Caenorhabditis elegans: one gene and its partner. The protein of the gene in region 2 purifies or fractionates together with the protein of the main gene of each other region. This does not show direct contact. Each region holds a gene or a part of one and is shown on either strand. Other genes may lie near its edges.

Region 1 (7,894 bases), on a different chromosome or scaffold from region 2:
AAGATCCCCATAGCACGAACAGAGTTTCCGTCCTGAAATTTCCAGCCAGTTTTTGCTTTTTTGACCTTTAGACTTACATCACCCTGAATCAGCTGCAAGAATGACTCCTTACTAAGCCCTTGTGAGCTGATGACATCATCAATGTCTGGAAGACAGAAAGCAAGCTTCAAGTTGTCATAGCTGCCTTTTTTCAATCCGTCAGCGCAGCTGATTGGTTGACCATCGAGGAGCAGCTGTGCTCGAACTCCTAATTTGTCACCGAATGTTTCACATGCATTGCAGTACAGGCTGAAAAAAAGATAAATCAATATTGTATGACAACATTAATTAATAGCAACAAACCAAGACCCAAATCCTCCACATCCGTTTTCAGGTTGTCGAACACATTTCTCTGGGACAGTATTTTTTTTGGCAGTGTTCTTCAGCTCAAGATAAATGGAGAAATCTCCGCCAAAGTCCTGAAATAGAGAGTTTCAATTTATTTTTTTATGTAGCTTTATTGTTCATTCAAAGTATATACTTAGAGAGTAATAAGAAGTTGTGATGAATTCTTTATTTCTCAGGGTAAGATAATTTTTAAACTTTTGATACGCTACACAAATACTGAAAAAAAACATTAAGTTTTGAATGATATTGATTTAAAATGTTGTCACGTTGTCACGTTGGCATAAAAAAATTCAATTTGCCCAATAATAATTCAGTAAGGTATAATTTAGTGATTTTTAAATTGTACAGACTACATTTAAAGATACAGATTGTGTTGATGTTCTTAAAAACACGGTCTTAAAGGCGGACTAACGGTTCGGACGATTTTGAACGTATAAATCCGAATTGGGCTGGAATGAATAAATTTTGAAAAAAAATACACTGATTTTCGCTAAAATCTCAATTTTCGGCCACTTTTCCGTGTCGCAGCGGTCCGAAGTTGTCTTTTTTGGAATTATCCTCCTGCATCTTTTGGTAATTTTTTATCATCACATTTCATTGATTTAAACCCGATAGGTAACCAAAAATCATCAAAATTGGTTACCTGTCGGCTTTAAATGTGCCTTAATCAATGAAATTGGATGAGATAAACTACCAAAATATGCAATAAAGGGCGATGATTCCAAAAAAGTCAACTACGTCCCCCGCTGCGACACGGAAAAGTTGCCAAAAATCGAGATTTTAGCTAAAATCAGTGTATTTTTTTTTCAAAATTTTGAACCGCCATAAAAAAATTTTGAAAAATTTATCAGAAGTTTCCTTACGAAACTCGTTTATTTGAGCTCATTTTGGGTTTGAACGTTCAAAATCATCCAAACCGTTAGTCCTCCTTCAAGACACGGAATATTAACAAAACAAAAAGCACAATATTTTACCTCTAGAACTTCTACTTGGCCTCCGATAGTAAAACAGTTTGGCTTATCGGCTTGTGGTTCAAGTTTCGGGCCTCTCCTATCATTTCCAGACTCGAATTCTAACTTCTTTGTCCATTTACCACCTGAAAACCAAATAAGCTTTGGTTTAAAATCTCGTAAACCTACTTTTGCATGGTTGATGTTTGATGAGTTCAAGAGTTACACTCAGATCTTTTCCCAACTCAACGTTTTCCAACGCGTTGGAAATGGAAACGAAAAGACACGATGAAGCTAAGAAAACGACCAACATCTGCGACTGAAACCGATGCGCAAATGAAGGTGTCATGGCTTATGAAGTAAGCGACGAGGACGTGCCCTTCTTTCACACCCCTTTTCAGCTGGATTTTAGAATAGTTTACAGTGACGGTGGGGGTGAAAGGGGAATATAGATATGAATTGTACAAATGTGTAATAAAAGTCTGACAGCCATCAAAACCACTTTTCTCGTTTTTTCTTTCTTTTTCGTGTTACTTTTACCTCAATGTGAAATGATTGTCGGATGGCGTTTCGAGGTCATGAAGGTTATGAGATTCTGAAAAGATGAAGAGATTAAAAGAAAAGGAAAGGGGAAAAAAGTAAAAAAAAAGGAAAATAATGAATCAAAAGCCTTATGTCCTTCAACTAGTAGTGAGAACAAATGCAATAAAGTTTTACAGATGTGTTACATAAATATCACTTTATGATCTCTAACCAACAACATATATAGTTCCAGTTTTCCTTACTATTAGTAACTTTGCAAGATTTTTCTGTAGAATTCGTGTACTGTTGTATACACAAGAATAAAAATTCTAGAAGTAAAGGGTATACAGAATACTTTGAACAAAATCCCAGAAACATTTTGAGGCTAGCAAAATATTGAGGTTGTATTGAATAAAATGCATATTGAAGAAATGTAAAAAAACATACTCAAAAGGATACCAGACAAAACTGTTGTTTTTTACACAACGAGTCTTTGAGCACAGTATCACCATAAAGATTGACTGTTATTTATTAAATGTCAAGATCAATTTGCTTATCTAATTCATAATTTTTATTGTGTTTATTTCATAATTCACAAAAAATGAACCCGCATAAACGAAATGAATAAACATGAAGTTATCATCGTTGTTCATCCAAATATATTTTCTTATTTCTTCTTGGCTTGAATGTCGCTCAAGCTAATGGTTCCGTAAAGTTTGTGACATCCAACGAAAACTGACTGCTTTTTGATAATTTGATTGAATGGCAGATTCCAATAAGTTTGAGAGTCAACTGGCTCATCAGCGCCAAGTTTGCGAAGTTCACGGATGCGAGATTCTAGTTTTCGTTGAGAGCTGAAATTATTTCATTTTTCTATTTGTTTAAAAATTTTCTACTCGTGAAAAATAGTGTTATTTTTCATATAGCTGTAATGTATGTGACATATATGTCTCGAATATAGTGAATGGTTGTTAGATGGTATATGAAACTGTAAATCTGGCTAAAACCTATTTAATTTTCAGAACTTACACTAGAAGAGGTTTAATATCCTTGTCGAACAAATAAACGGTCACAAATAGACTAAGCTTTGGTGGACCATTTCCTTCCTGAAACACACTTTTTCTTTCAATAATTATTTTCATTTTGTCAAACCTGAGTAGTAGCAGCTAAAATGTGATCTAACGCGTCTTCTGAAATTCCCTGCCATTCCAACAATGCAGCTAATTTCGGAAGGCAGAAACGGAGTTCAACATTATCATATTCTCCTTTCTAAAAATAGTGTTATTGACTGCATCGTAAATTTTTTTTAACGATGTTGCTCACTTTTAATGGCTCACATCCTGCTGGTTTGCCGTTCACAACAAGTTGAGCTCCGAGAATTTTCGTGAGAGAGTCCAAAGAATCACATGGCCGGCAGTAGAGACTGAAACAGCAGTGTTTACGTCATTTTTTGGAAACAACAAAACAACAAATTTTCAAGTTCGAAAATTTAAATTTCGTAATCATCGAAATACAACTAAATCTTGTTGTTTGAAGTTATAACATAACGACAAATTATGATAGCGTAGTACGTGGAGAGATGGCCGAGCGGTCTAAGGCGCTGGTTTAAGGCACCAGTCCCTTCGGGGGCGTGGGTTCGAATCCCACTCTCTTCAGTTCTTTTTTTTTAATTTATTTTGCAGGTTAAACACTTATGTATGAAATTGTTATAGTTATACTTTTTGTTTTAAGAGTGACCTCTAACTTAAAACTTTTAGGTACTTCACAGCTGTTCATCTATCATTAACTGCTCAAAAGGCTTTTTTTTCATTTCCTAATGTTTTTTCTAGCTCTAGAATCTTGATGATTTCCCTAATATTTCTGTCAATAACTCATTACCATGATCCAACACCTCCACAACCAGTGTCCGGATTGGCATCCCTGCACACTTCCGGTGGTCTTTGAGTGTCACCAGTGGTCGACACGGACAAGTAGATCAACAACTCGTCGCTCACATCCTCATGAATTTTCACTTTTCCCTAAAGAAAATGAATTATTATTATTATTGTAATAACGTCAATCATCAAGCATTGTTATTGTTTTTCAAAAATCAAAATAAAACACTCTTGGGGGCTAACTCACACTAATTGCATAGCACCCTTTCTGTTCAGTTGACTTGAGTAGCGCTCCACTATCCGAGTGGCCACCCTGGAACTCGATTTTGCGGTTCCAGTGAGAACCTGTAACACGTAAAGTATTAAAAAAGTGACAACGATAGTTTAATAATTACTTTTTCTCCATGCACAACTTTGATGTCTATGAAGGTTTAAGTTCAGATACTGAGTCGATGCAAATCCAAACAAAATTGCCAGTAATATCAGGCAGTTTGTAATCATGACAAATCTGTAAGATACCGTTTATGTAAAAATTTACAGAAAGTTACAAGAACAGTATAGAAAAAGTCACAGAAGTCACTGAATTCAAATAGTTCCATCATCGAAACATCTTCATATCTAATATTTGAATCAATCTTAGTTTAGCATTTAATGCAAATGCGGCAAGAAAGTAGCTGTGAAAAAGAAAAATCGTCAAATGGGGCAAAACGATACGAATGGAAGGAACCTGTTACGTAAGCTTAGAGATCTGTCTAAGCATGAAAAAAGAGAATCGGGTATGATATGCATTGTTGAAGGACCTAGACTTTCAATCAAAACGGGACTATGGCAGAGACCACAAGGAAAAATAAACTGAAATAAGGAAGCGAAATGTTCTACGATGACTGACCAGGAGAACATTGAAGATTCCAATGGTCTTTGATTTAGTGTTCACCTCGTCGTCGTCCGCCCTAATTTTTCAACTTGTCATAAAATTTGATTCCTCTGGAATTTCACAAAAGAAAACTAGTTACGAGAACAAGAACTAATGTGGAACTTTTAATGGTGTGTACTAGGTGTGTTTGAGAAGGGAAATATTTGTGACGCTTTACAAAATCAGTGTTCATGTGACTATCTTTTCAAATCGACTTCAAAATGTTGTTTGTAAGAATGGAGACCTAAATGAATGATGGAGTTTGTGGGCAAAAAATCTCAAAAACTACAGAAACAATGTCAGAAATAACGCAACAGTTATTTGTAATTTTATAATACTTCGGTTCTCAACTATAGAATATTTGGGAAACTTAGTGGAAAAATAATACCGCCGGCATATAGAATAACTCTTAAACTACTTTGGACGAATTAATGTTTTAACAGTGGTCGCAAGAGCATTCGAGCTAATGAAGTTTGGCAAACAAAGATTTTTTTGTGGACTACAAATTATGATAGGCATAATACCATTAAGCCCAATAGTGGCTGGGTGAACCTAGGGGGTGAGGCCGGACTTGAACTTATGACCTCCAGATTTCTAGCGGTCACCACTACCGACTGAGCTATCCGCCCCCCGAAATACAATTTTGTAAAGCAAAATTAAAAAATATATCTTTTCATTTTTTCACGTATCAATCATGTTTGCGCAATTTAAAAAATGAACTTTAATGAAAAAAAATCATAAACTTATATAATCTTGCAAAAACCCCTTGATAAGAAAAATGAGTCATTGAACGATTAAAACATAAATAAAAATTTCCACTAGCTTTAACCAAAAGTCCACACTTTTTCATCTTGCGAATACACAGTTTTCACACCCGTCTTTATAATCATTTTATACACTTTCTGTAATGCTGGCAATTCGCTTGAGTGCACTTGAATAGCAAAGGTTCACGCTTGGACAGAAAAGTGTGACGAAAGATATTGTGGAAGGGCAAATGAATGGTGGGCCGACACGCAGGGCAAAAAACGAATAATACTAAGAAATTGTGGAAGACGATAAAGACTGCGAATTGGTCGGAAACGAGAATTTGCCAAGAATCCCCTCATCTCCTTTCACCAACTAACCGCGGATAATAGATAATAGGTGTGAATCATTATTATTCGATCAGGAAACGATGCGCTATGCAAAGTGTTAGCTGGTCTGCTTGCGTTACATTCAGGTATACAATTTTTGCAGGAAATCACGCACATACACATCTGAATGTCACTTTATGTACAGTGTTTTAGACAAAACCAGTTTTAATACTGCGCTTGTGATAGTTGTACCAAATTCTGAATTTGTGAATGGCCAGGTATACATACTAGAGCTTAAAACTGGACTAAATTTTATTTGATCAAAACTGATTAGCAAAATTTTATTACAAATTAAAAGGTTTATTTCACGGTTCATTTAAAGGCGTAGAAATAAATTTGGGCACACATCAACCTACTGAACATGCATTTTAATCAATGGAATAATTGTGCACTAAAATAGTTTTATGACAAAATAACCTTGACAATATTTTAGAAAACTCCAAGATGTAACAAGTGTTAAGTTTAAGGAAGTCCAATGCAAAACCTTATATAAAGGATTAGGCACGTCTTGCAATTATAAAAAAGTATCCCACTGTTGAGCATCTCTTCTGACATTTCAAAAAAAAATTTAACAAAAAAAGGTGTAACCAGACTTGAATTTCCTTTATTAGTAACTGCTCGATTATAAATTTAAATAATCGGGACGTGGTTGAAACGCTTTAATTTTTTAAGCTATACTCGGTTGACAGAAAATAGACTGTTTGTATGATGGAAACTTTGTATCACAGCTCTAACAAAACAGCTTTATTTCACCAAAAGTACAAGGACTGGAGGAAAGAAAAATTGTATCAACTATCTCATTTCTGCACCTTCAACGCCCCCAAAGCCGGCTGCTGAGTTGAAGTTTTGGCCGGATTCCTGCTTTCGCCACCCGCTCCATTTTCAGATTGTCATCAGAAAACACTTCCTCATTTTCAGTCTCATGTTGATTCAACGACTGTCTTGAAGTCTTGGCCAATATTGTGGTCTGCAATCTGATTCGATGAAATCTTGGAAACAAGAATCATAAGTGAACAGGAAGGAGTGGATTCCAAGTAATTTGTTTACCGTTTCGAATTTATTCTCATCTTTGATCGTTTTCTCGGATGATTCCACCGGCCACATCACCATGAAATCTTCAGGAATCAGAGGGATGTCCTGAATTAAATTAAATTGAAATAAATGAAATGAGTCAGTGGTTTATTGAAAACACACTACATTTGATTGCACCTGCTAACTATAAGTTTTAAAATTATTTAGGGATGACAAATTTCCTCGTGATTCTATCTTTGCCAAAAATTAACAATTCCACCTGCATTAAACTCGTGGCCAAAACTTCAAAACATTAGGATTTCTCAAGTGTATCAATAGAATAGTGTTGTTCCAAAAAAAAAAACGCTTTATGTAAATTCAAAAAAAACACAGAAGTGAAGAAGTAAAATTTCCTTGACTCACCCTTTCAAAATTCCTCAGCCCTGAAGCATGTGCCCGTTTGCCCCAAAGAATACTGGACCTGCGGAGCTCCCCGTTTATAGCTCGTTTGTGCGTGATGAACCTCTGAATTTAGATTTTAAAATAAAAAATCTGACATCCATGAAAGCTTACATCAAAATGCGCCATGTCGTCACCACCCCCAATGCCTCCAAACTTCCTCATTTTCCAATCCTAAACATTTTGCGAATAATTCATAAGTTTGACTATTTTTGGTGTCCCTACCTGATTGGCCATGGTGACCCCAGCGAAGAAGAAAGCAATCAGAATAAAGAAGGTGTACTGCATGTCGTCCTGTGAAGTACAAGTATAATTCTCAGAGATTAATTTTTTTGGGAATGGAATTAAGAAAAAGTGTGAGCCGGGTGATTTTAACTGGCAGTTAATGAAACCGATTTTAGCGCAGGAGCAATTTGATTTTGTCTTCACCTGTTTTGTTAAAACAAGGGGCGGAGCTTTGAATGCAGAAAGAGAGAGAAGGTTAATTCGGAAATGAAGAATCTTGATAGACTACCCGGAATTTTAAAAACATCAGTATAAATTAAAACTGAGTGTGAAAAATAAAGCGAAGGAAAAGGCAAAAGACAAAAAAAAAGCAAAATATAAGTGTGACCACTCATCGAAAATTAGAGGATACCTAGGTTC
Region 2 (7,325 bases):
AAACTTTGTCCATCCAACATCTAACTTTTCCATCTTATCCATTTCTCAATTTTAGTAAAACTTTCAAAAAATTTGCAAACGCACAGTTCAAGAAAGTCACTAGATTTCGACAAGAATATAAAAAATATTTATAAGTACCCGTGACATTGTTTGTCGAACATAACAGTCTTGTAAGAATCAACAAATGATTTCTGCATAACAGGAGATCGAATTGAGCCAAGTTGAAGTATGAGCACACTTTCCGCAATGACTGGAATTTGCAACGTTTCTATGTGAATGTAAATAAAATTGAAAGTAAAACGTGCAAAACCAGCGCGGGAAGTGTGGAGGTATATTTTTTGTAAAAAAGTAATCAATTTTAGACCAAAAAATTAAAACAAACCCTCGCACACCAGCCATCACTTGATTTCGCATGTTTGACTGGGCAATGTCGAGCCAGCGATCGCCGAACTGAACACGATTATGCAGACCGAGAGATTGACAGAGAACTCCCTTTGAAAGCACTTCAAAAAGCAGGGTGCATGACAAGAAAAGTGCAATTACTTACATTGATTCTTTGATGCTCGGATTGGAAATCCATTTTTGAAAGCTCCCTTTCCGAGTTGAGCGAGATAAAGTTCATTAGTGATTGGATTGTATACGATTCCAGCACGAATTTGTTTTTTGATTGCAAGTCCAACGCAGATTGCGATCATAGGGATTCTATAATAACATAAGAATTTGTTTTTCGAGAAAAATTTGAGTCCAAATTAGAAATTAAATAACGCGATTTGCCATTATTTGAAGAGTCCGATTTAAAAAAAATCTTACCTATGAACAAAGTTAGTAGTTCCATCAATCGGATCAATAATCCATGTTGGTGCATCAGTCCATTCAATTTTCGCACCTCCGGCTACAGATTCCTCGCCAATGAATCTGAATCAAAATAGTAAATTTATGTAAATACTCGATTGAAAAAGAAAGTCCAACTGGTTGTCATGGAGACAATGAGTGAAATCGAGCGGACCGTGGGAATTCCTTGCTCTTACCTATGTCCTTTGAATCTCTCGGAGAGCCCTTCGATGAGAAGCTTTTCAACAGCTTGGTCAGTTTCAGTCACCAAATCAGTATTCGATGATTTTGTGTCAACCTTGCTTTCCGGGGAGTCAAACGCGGTACGGACGAGCTGAAAATGTTTTTTTCGAATATTGATGTTTTTTCAAATAATAAAATTTGTTTCGTAACTGAGGAATAGAGAATGTTGTTTTTCGAGTTACGCATTTGATTTAAATGTGCATATTTGTAAAATTAACAAAAATAAGACAAAGATAATAACGACGTTGTTGTTTTAGGAAACAGTTTGATTTTTTAATCCGAATTCAACTCACCGTTCCAGCTTTTTTAACCAACTCAATGGCGTAGTCGACGAAAACTTGCTCTTCCTCGTGGATTGGTTGGAACACCATCTAAAACTTAAAATCAATGAATAAAGAGCTGAAGGGAACCACTTTGCCGAAAAACAATAAAATAAATTAAAGAAGCTAAACGGAGAAGCCGTCTATTAGGAAAACTAACTCGCGCCAGAGTCGTTTTTCCAACGACGCGAGCAGACGGAGCGAGAAAATTAGAGATCACTCGGAGACACGAGACGCAGAGACACCTAGTAATCTCTTCCCATGTTCTGTTAGGAAAAATGATAACGACGAGGGAGAAAAATGACCAGACACAAAAATTTGCAACATCAAAGTACATTGGAGTCACTGAGAACCAATGAGACAACGCAAAATGCAAAATTTAAACGGATAAATTGTTTATTATATCAAGTATCGGATAGCAGTCTGTCAACCAAAGTAAACCAAGTCGACGTGCTCTTTCCAGCCTTTTCGTTCAATTATACGCTCCAAATCACCATTTGTCAAGTCCAATTTGACACAAACGACGAGCGGAGGCCTGGCATTTCTAAAACAAATAATACGTTTAGTAAGAAACTGAGAAAGTGAAGACATACTCAAGGTTAACAATTGGAACTTTGTGAGTCACACTGCGTGACACTTCATCAAACTCTTCATGAACACCTCTCCCGATTTTTGACTCATCAATATCGCAAAATTCTCTGACTTTGATCTTCTCGTCATCTGTGAGACTTCTAAAGAATGTAGTATATGTTGAAAGAATGTTTTCAAGCATAAACCATTACTTGAAAAGACGTTTTCCTTGCTTCCCAGCACTCCAGATTGTGAATTTGTCCCATTTTGCGATGTATTTCTCTTTTAATCTCGATAAACGGAAATTCCAAATTGTTTGTTCTTGAACGCTGTGTGATGCACAGTTTTTATGGTATCGGTACATGACAATGTCATCATCGACCTGAAATAACACACATTTTGAAATGAATTTTTTTCAAGCTAACTTTCCAGCTAAAATTGCCAATTTACTTACTTTATCAAAAATACACTCCGGGAAATCCAAGCACTTGTAGAAAAATTCTAAGTCTTCAGGAAAACCACACGAAACATCTGTTCGAAAACCGCCAACCTTATCGAAAAGTGCTCTACTAATGAACCAAGTAGGAGCAACGAGCGTGGGACCATGAGATGTGTAGACTTGACTTCTGATTTTGTCTCCGATCATCGAGTTCGCCCATTTTGTGTATCTTGTTGTGGAGCCTTCTGGTAGTCTATGAAACTGTCCACCTAACAAACAGTTAGGATCGTATTATACTTAACTTCAATTTATTCACCTACAAAAATTAAATCATCTCCAGACTTCGATAACTTCGTTGCCAACTCCAATTGGCTTTTGATTCTGTTCGGAGAGCTGACATCATCTGCATCATTGAAACAGAGATATCTTCCTTTCGAAGATCTTACAGCACAATCCTTAGCGGCACCAACTCCACCGGGTTGAGGAACGTGTGTAACAACGACATTCATTCCCATCTCTTCGAACTCGAGCCGCGCATTTTCCAGAATTCTAACAGTGTCATCTACACTCCCGTCGTCAGCCAAACAAATCTGAGATATTTTTATTAATTAGAAGAAACAAAACCATACGCATTTCTAACCTCAATTTTTGAATTTTCACAAGCTGTCTGGTCGAGTAGACCGTTGAGTGTTTCCCGCAAGAACTTTTCTACATTTTTGGCTGGAATTATGACAGAGACGTCATATTGATAGTTCATCATACCCTATAAACATTCAATTGAACAATAACCAACTATAAAACGAAAAAATTCATAAAAGCTGAAAGAGCGTTACCGAAAACGGAAAACAAAACATTAAAATGGAATTTTAAACTTTGAATAAAAATAAACAAGGCGCATTACGATGCTCCGTTCTTACGACGCTGTGTCTCTCTCAATAGCACACTCCCTCGCCGTAATGCGGTGCCTCTTTTTTGTTGGTGAACATTTTTAAACTACTCGTTCTTTGTTGATGTTTTTCTCTCCATCTGTCTATTTTTCTATAAAATTTTAAAAAATACGTATTTTCCTGTTTTAGTCAGATTATCAAAATATCCGCTTGAAGTTCCTTCGAAAAAACTCTCCAGGTGATGCTCAATTCTAAGCCGATTCTCACACTTTGCTCGTTTTTGCCTTGAAGACCAAACGATCGACTATTTGATTTTAAAATTAGAACATGCGGTTCGCAAAGGTATGCTCTATCCGATATTAAAAGTTCTAATGTTCATAAGATGTTACAGATGGTTTCGTCTGAAATGGACACCGCGATTGAGGCTCGGTCAATAGCAACATCCCCGCTAAACTCGAAAGTATCTCCACTGAGTCAAATACAGAAGGACAAGCTTTTAGTAATTCAATGGGAACATCTCAACTTGTACAAATTCTATCCAATGGCTCTGTGCAGTTCATGGACAATCAGGTGCATGCTGTATCCAATGTCTGTTGTGAAGAGCAGACTACAACTACAGAGACAAAATAATGTGTATAACGGAATGCGAGATGCATTTGTTAAAATCATTCGTCAAGAAGGAATCGGCGCTTTGTATAAAGTTAGTTTTAGTTACCGGATGTTTTATTGAAATTTAAAATATTTCAGGGATTCTGGATGACACTTCCCCAGCTGTCAGCTTCATTTTTATATTCATCAGCTTATGAAAGAGTCAGAGACTTGCTTCAAACCCATCTTCATATTACTAATCACTCTGTGGTATCTGCATTAGCCGGAGGAATCGCTTCTCCTTGTGCACAGCTAATATTTGTACCAACTGACATTGTGGCTCAACATATGATGGTTCATAATAATCCAGAAGCATTTGGAGGTAAATCGCTTTTTTGAAATGTTTGCTCTGAAGAATATAATTTAGGTGGAGAGAAGAATATACCAGTAGCAGATGCAATCAGAAAAGATGGTCTCGAAGGCAGAAGAACGTTAGGTTTGAGAGTTATCAGGGCCGTGTACAAAGTTGATGGAATTTTCGGTTTTTATAGGTATTTTTATATTTTACAGTTTCAATTATGACATATTTTAAAATTTCAGAGGATTCCTATCCGCAATCATGTTGTATATTCCTTCAACAATGGTTTTCTGGTCTACATATTACAATTCATTAGCAGTGTTCAGAATGATTCGTGAAAAAGTAGGTTAAAGTTATGCTAAACTGAATTAAGTCAATTATTAATTCAGGTCACTGAACTTGAATATGGAGTGAAACCAACATCTCCTTCCGAAGTTGATGATCGGAATTTGTTCCTGGACCAAGCTGTGAGCGGTTCTATTGGCGGAGTCGCTAGTGCAATGGTTACAAATCCATTGGAGATGCTGAGAATTCGGTTACAGGTAAGAATTTTAGTAATCTAATTCAATGAAATTAAAATATTTTCAGGTTCATCGAACAACGTACAGGGAAACGATTGTTAGACTATGGAAGTATGAGAAAGCACAAGTATTCACCAAGGTATGGTTTTGCCAAATCAAGATATACCAAATTTAGAAAATGAGCTCAGAAATCAACATGTTTACACCATTTTTTTGCTTCAAATAAGTATCCGTAAAATATGCTGAGCTCACGAAAAATATTAGTTAAATACATTTATATATGTTTTTAATATTTCAGGGTCTCGCACCGCGTATGGTGAATAATGCTCTCTATTCAAGTCTTGTAATGCTTGCCTATGAAAGTGTCAAACGGTTCTCAGTTCTGCCCGAGTTTAAAAACAAAATCGTCTGGTGATCGCACCTGCTCATTTTCGAATTTTTACTGCTCACACACGTGTATTCATACTTTCATCCAAAAAAATAATCTAAGATTTCTTATTTTGCAGCAATGCAACACCGCTTTCGTTTCTCCTAGAAGATTATTAGATGCTGTCCAAAATTGTAAATTTTGTGTGATCATATCACCCCAAATTCCTTCTTTCCGCTCTCTTCGAATTCTGTTCTATGAACTTTTCTTTTTTTTTTGTAATTGTTTCTTTAATATTCTTTTTTTTCTCACTATTCTGGTTCGGTCCCTTCTCATTTTCGAGTATAAATCCTTTGATGTTTGCTTTTTCTTTTTGATTTTTCCTTTTGAGGTAAATTTCCTCTAATATCTTTATTATATCATTTATTCGTTGAAATTACATTTTGAAAATCATTTACAAACAATCAGATGTCCTACCGGCGTGCCGTTTCTCGATTTGACCGTGTTAACCAATGGCTGCAGTTTTCGAGACAATGGCACGTGATTGATGCGAATCAACAAGTATGTATACCTTTAAGCCTCTTGTTTTGTTTTTTTGAATGTTTGAACGTAAACATGTCGACGATCAAATGGGAAAACATGTTGTTGACAAATGGAAGTGTTAAGTAATAATATAAGTGCAATCCTTTCTAATACACATAGTTATTCAAATAATACAAATTATTGCTCACTGATAAAAAATAATTCAACAATGACCAAACACAATAGTAAAGCTTTTCAAAAAATTCCTGAATTTATTTTATTAGCACGCAAATTGTAGTAATTACTCAGTTTTTTCCACTTATATTATAATGTCGTAAGTCCGCCAAAACCCAATTTGGCACGATTATTTTAAAGTTTAATTTTTTTAATCTTGAAAACTACAGAAAATCGCATTCTCTCTTCAATTTTTTCCTCTGAACAATCTGGAAAAAAAATCGAAAAAGTCCATTTTTGTAAAAAAAAATTACCAGAAAACAAAAATGTACATTCGAATAACAGAAAAACATAATAACAACATGAATATATTTATTTTTATTTCATATTTAATTCCAGGACGCCGAACTTCTTGGTGATAAAGTTGCTCGATATCTCGCAGGGAAACACAAACCAATTTTCCATCCAGAAACTGATTGTGGAGATCATGTAGTTGTTACAAACTGCAAAGATATTGCAATGCATGCATTTGACTGGAAACACACAATTTATAAGTTCAATATGGTGATTTTTGCTGCTTTTATAGAAATTATCAATTCTTTTGCAGGAATATCCAAAAAGTAAAGCTGATATTCCAGCATGGCAGATTCACGATTACGATCAATGCAGAATAGCTTTTTTATCGGTTTATAGGGTGAGTGTATTTTTATTTTGTAATTTATGTCATCCAATTTTTTTAAGTTTTGAAGTATTTTTGAAAAAAAAATAATCTAATGATTTATTCAACGTTAAAAATGTCTTTAAAATTTACCTGAAAATTAAACAAAACAATTTTTTGGCAATAACTAATATAAACTATTCGAACACCTGAAGTACGCGGTGGTTATATTCTTTTTTTCAGTCACTTGGAAATAATCTTCTCCGACGTCGTCACATCCAACGCCTACATTTATTCCCAGATGAAGAAATGGCAGAATTTGTACGAAAAAATATTGGAAGTCAGCTGCGACAAGTTCAAGGAGTTGTGAAACGAAGTGATGAATATACGGCAGAAGAGAGAGCAAACTTCCCAAGAGTTGTGAAATTCGCAGATAAGCATGTCGTTGATTGGGAGAAAAGCATTCCAAATCCGGGAAGACATGTGAAACCAGTGCCCGGACAAAAGGATAAATAGATGATCTCGAGTAGGATTTTGTAGAGTCTGTAGTCTAATTTTCCTTTTTTTTCAAATATTTTTGTTGAAATTGTTTCTGTTGGTATTTTTATGAATATAAGAACTATTAAGAAAATATTCAATTAACACGAAAACTATTCATAACAACAATTAAGAGAAAAAATTTTGAAAACCCATAGAAAAATGATTAAATGAAACTCCGTTGCTCTTCGAAAAGCTTTTCTGATTTCAAACTAGATGATTTCGTCTCCATGTGGTGGTCATTATCAACGAATCGTTGCAACACTAACTTTGCATCACGTTCTCTGAAAAAAACACTTATTAAAAATAG

Evidence for each region. The genes of interacting proteins can lie anywhere in the genome.
Region 1: the proteins of F13G3.6 (region 2) and gmap-2 fractionate together in Caenorhabditis elegans (co-fractionation; one large-scale study listed by BioGRID). This does not show direct contact.

Annotation. Positions count from the first base shown.
Region 1 is NC_003284.9:12,939,026-12,946,919, forward strand, and holds gmap-2 (GM2 Activator Protein family member), read right to left. Parts: upstream 4,242-7,894; 5' UTR 4,235-4,241; coding exon 4,129-4,234; intron 4,079-4,128; coding exon 3,981-4,078; intron 3,878-3,980; coding exon 3,738-3,877; intron 3,515-3,737; exon of another isoform or gene 3,433-3,514; intron 3,283-3,432; coding exon 3,183-3,282; intron 3,129-3,182; coding exon 3,012-3,128; intron 2,966-3,011; coding exon 2,889-2,965; intron 2,714-2,888; coding exon 2,527-2,713; 3' UTR 2,417-2,526; downstream 1-2,416. Other genes in the region: gmap-3 (GM2 Activator Protein family member), read right to left, coding at 1-32, 78-288, 343-458, 1,362-1,483, 1,527-1,686; nssp-88 (Neuropeptide-Like Protein), read right to left, coding at 6,591-6,746, 6,827-6,916, 7,214-7,315, 7,364-7,423, 7,475-7,537.
Region 2 is NC_003279.8:7,301,525-7,308,849, forward strand, and holds F13G3.6 (Glycosyltransferase 2-like domain-containing protein), read right to left. Parts: upstream 3,167-7,325; 5' UTR 3,164-3,166; coding exon 3,044-3,163; intron 2,994-3,043; coding exon 2,720-2,993; intron 2,673-2,719; coding exon 2,419-2,672; intron 2,347-2,418; coding exon 2,177-2,346; intron 2,126-2,176; coding exon 1,988-2,125; intron 1,939-1,987; coding exon 1,821-1,938; 3' UTR 1,776-1,820; downstream 1-1,775. Other genes in the region: Inositol monophosphatase ttx-7, read right to left, coding at 383-503, 548-702, 811-915, 1,029-1,165, 1,368-1,445; F13G3.7 (SLC (SoLute Carrier) homolog), read left to right, coding at 3,618-3,632, 3,673-3,990, 4,038-4,260, 4,306-4,429, 4,479-4,578, 4,626-4,778, 4,825-4,896, 5,056-5,172; mrpl-13 (Ribosomal protein L13), read left to right, coding at 5,593-5,685, 6,220-6,384, 6,428-6,514, 6,722-6,994; Innexin eat-5, read right to left, coding at 7,182-7,299.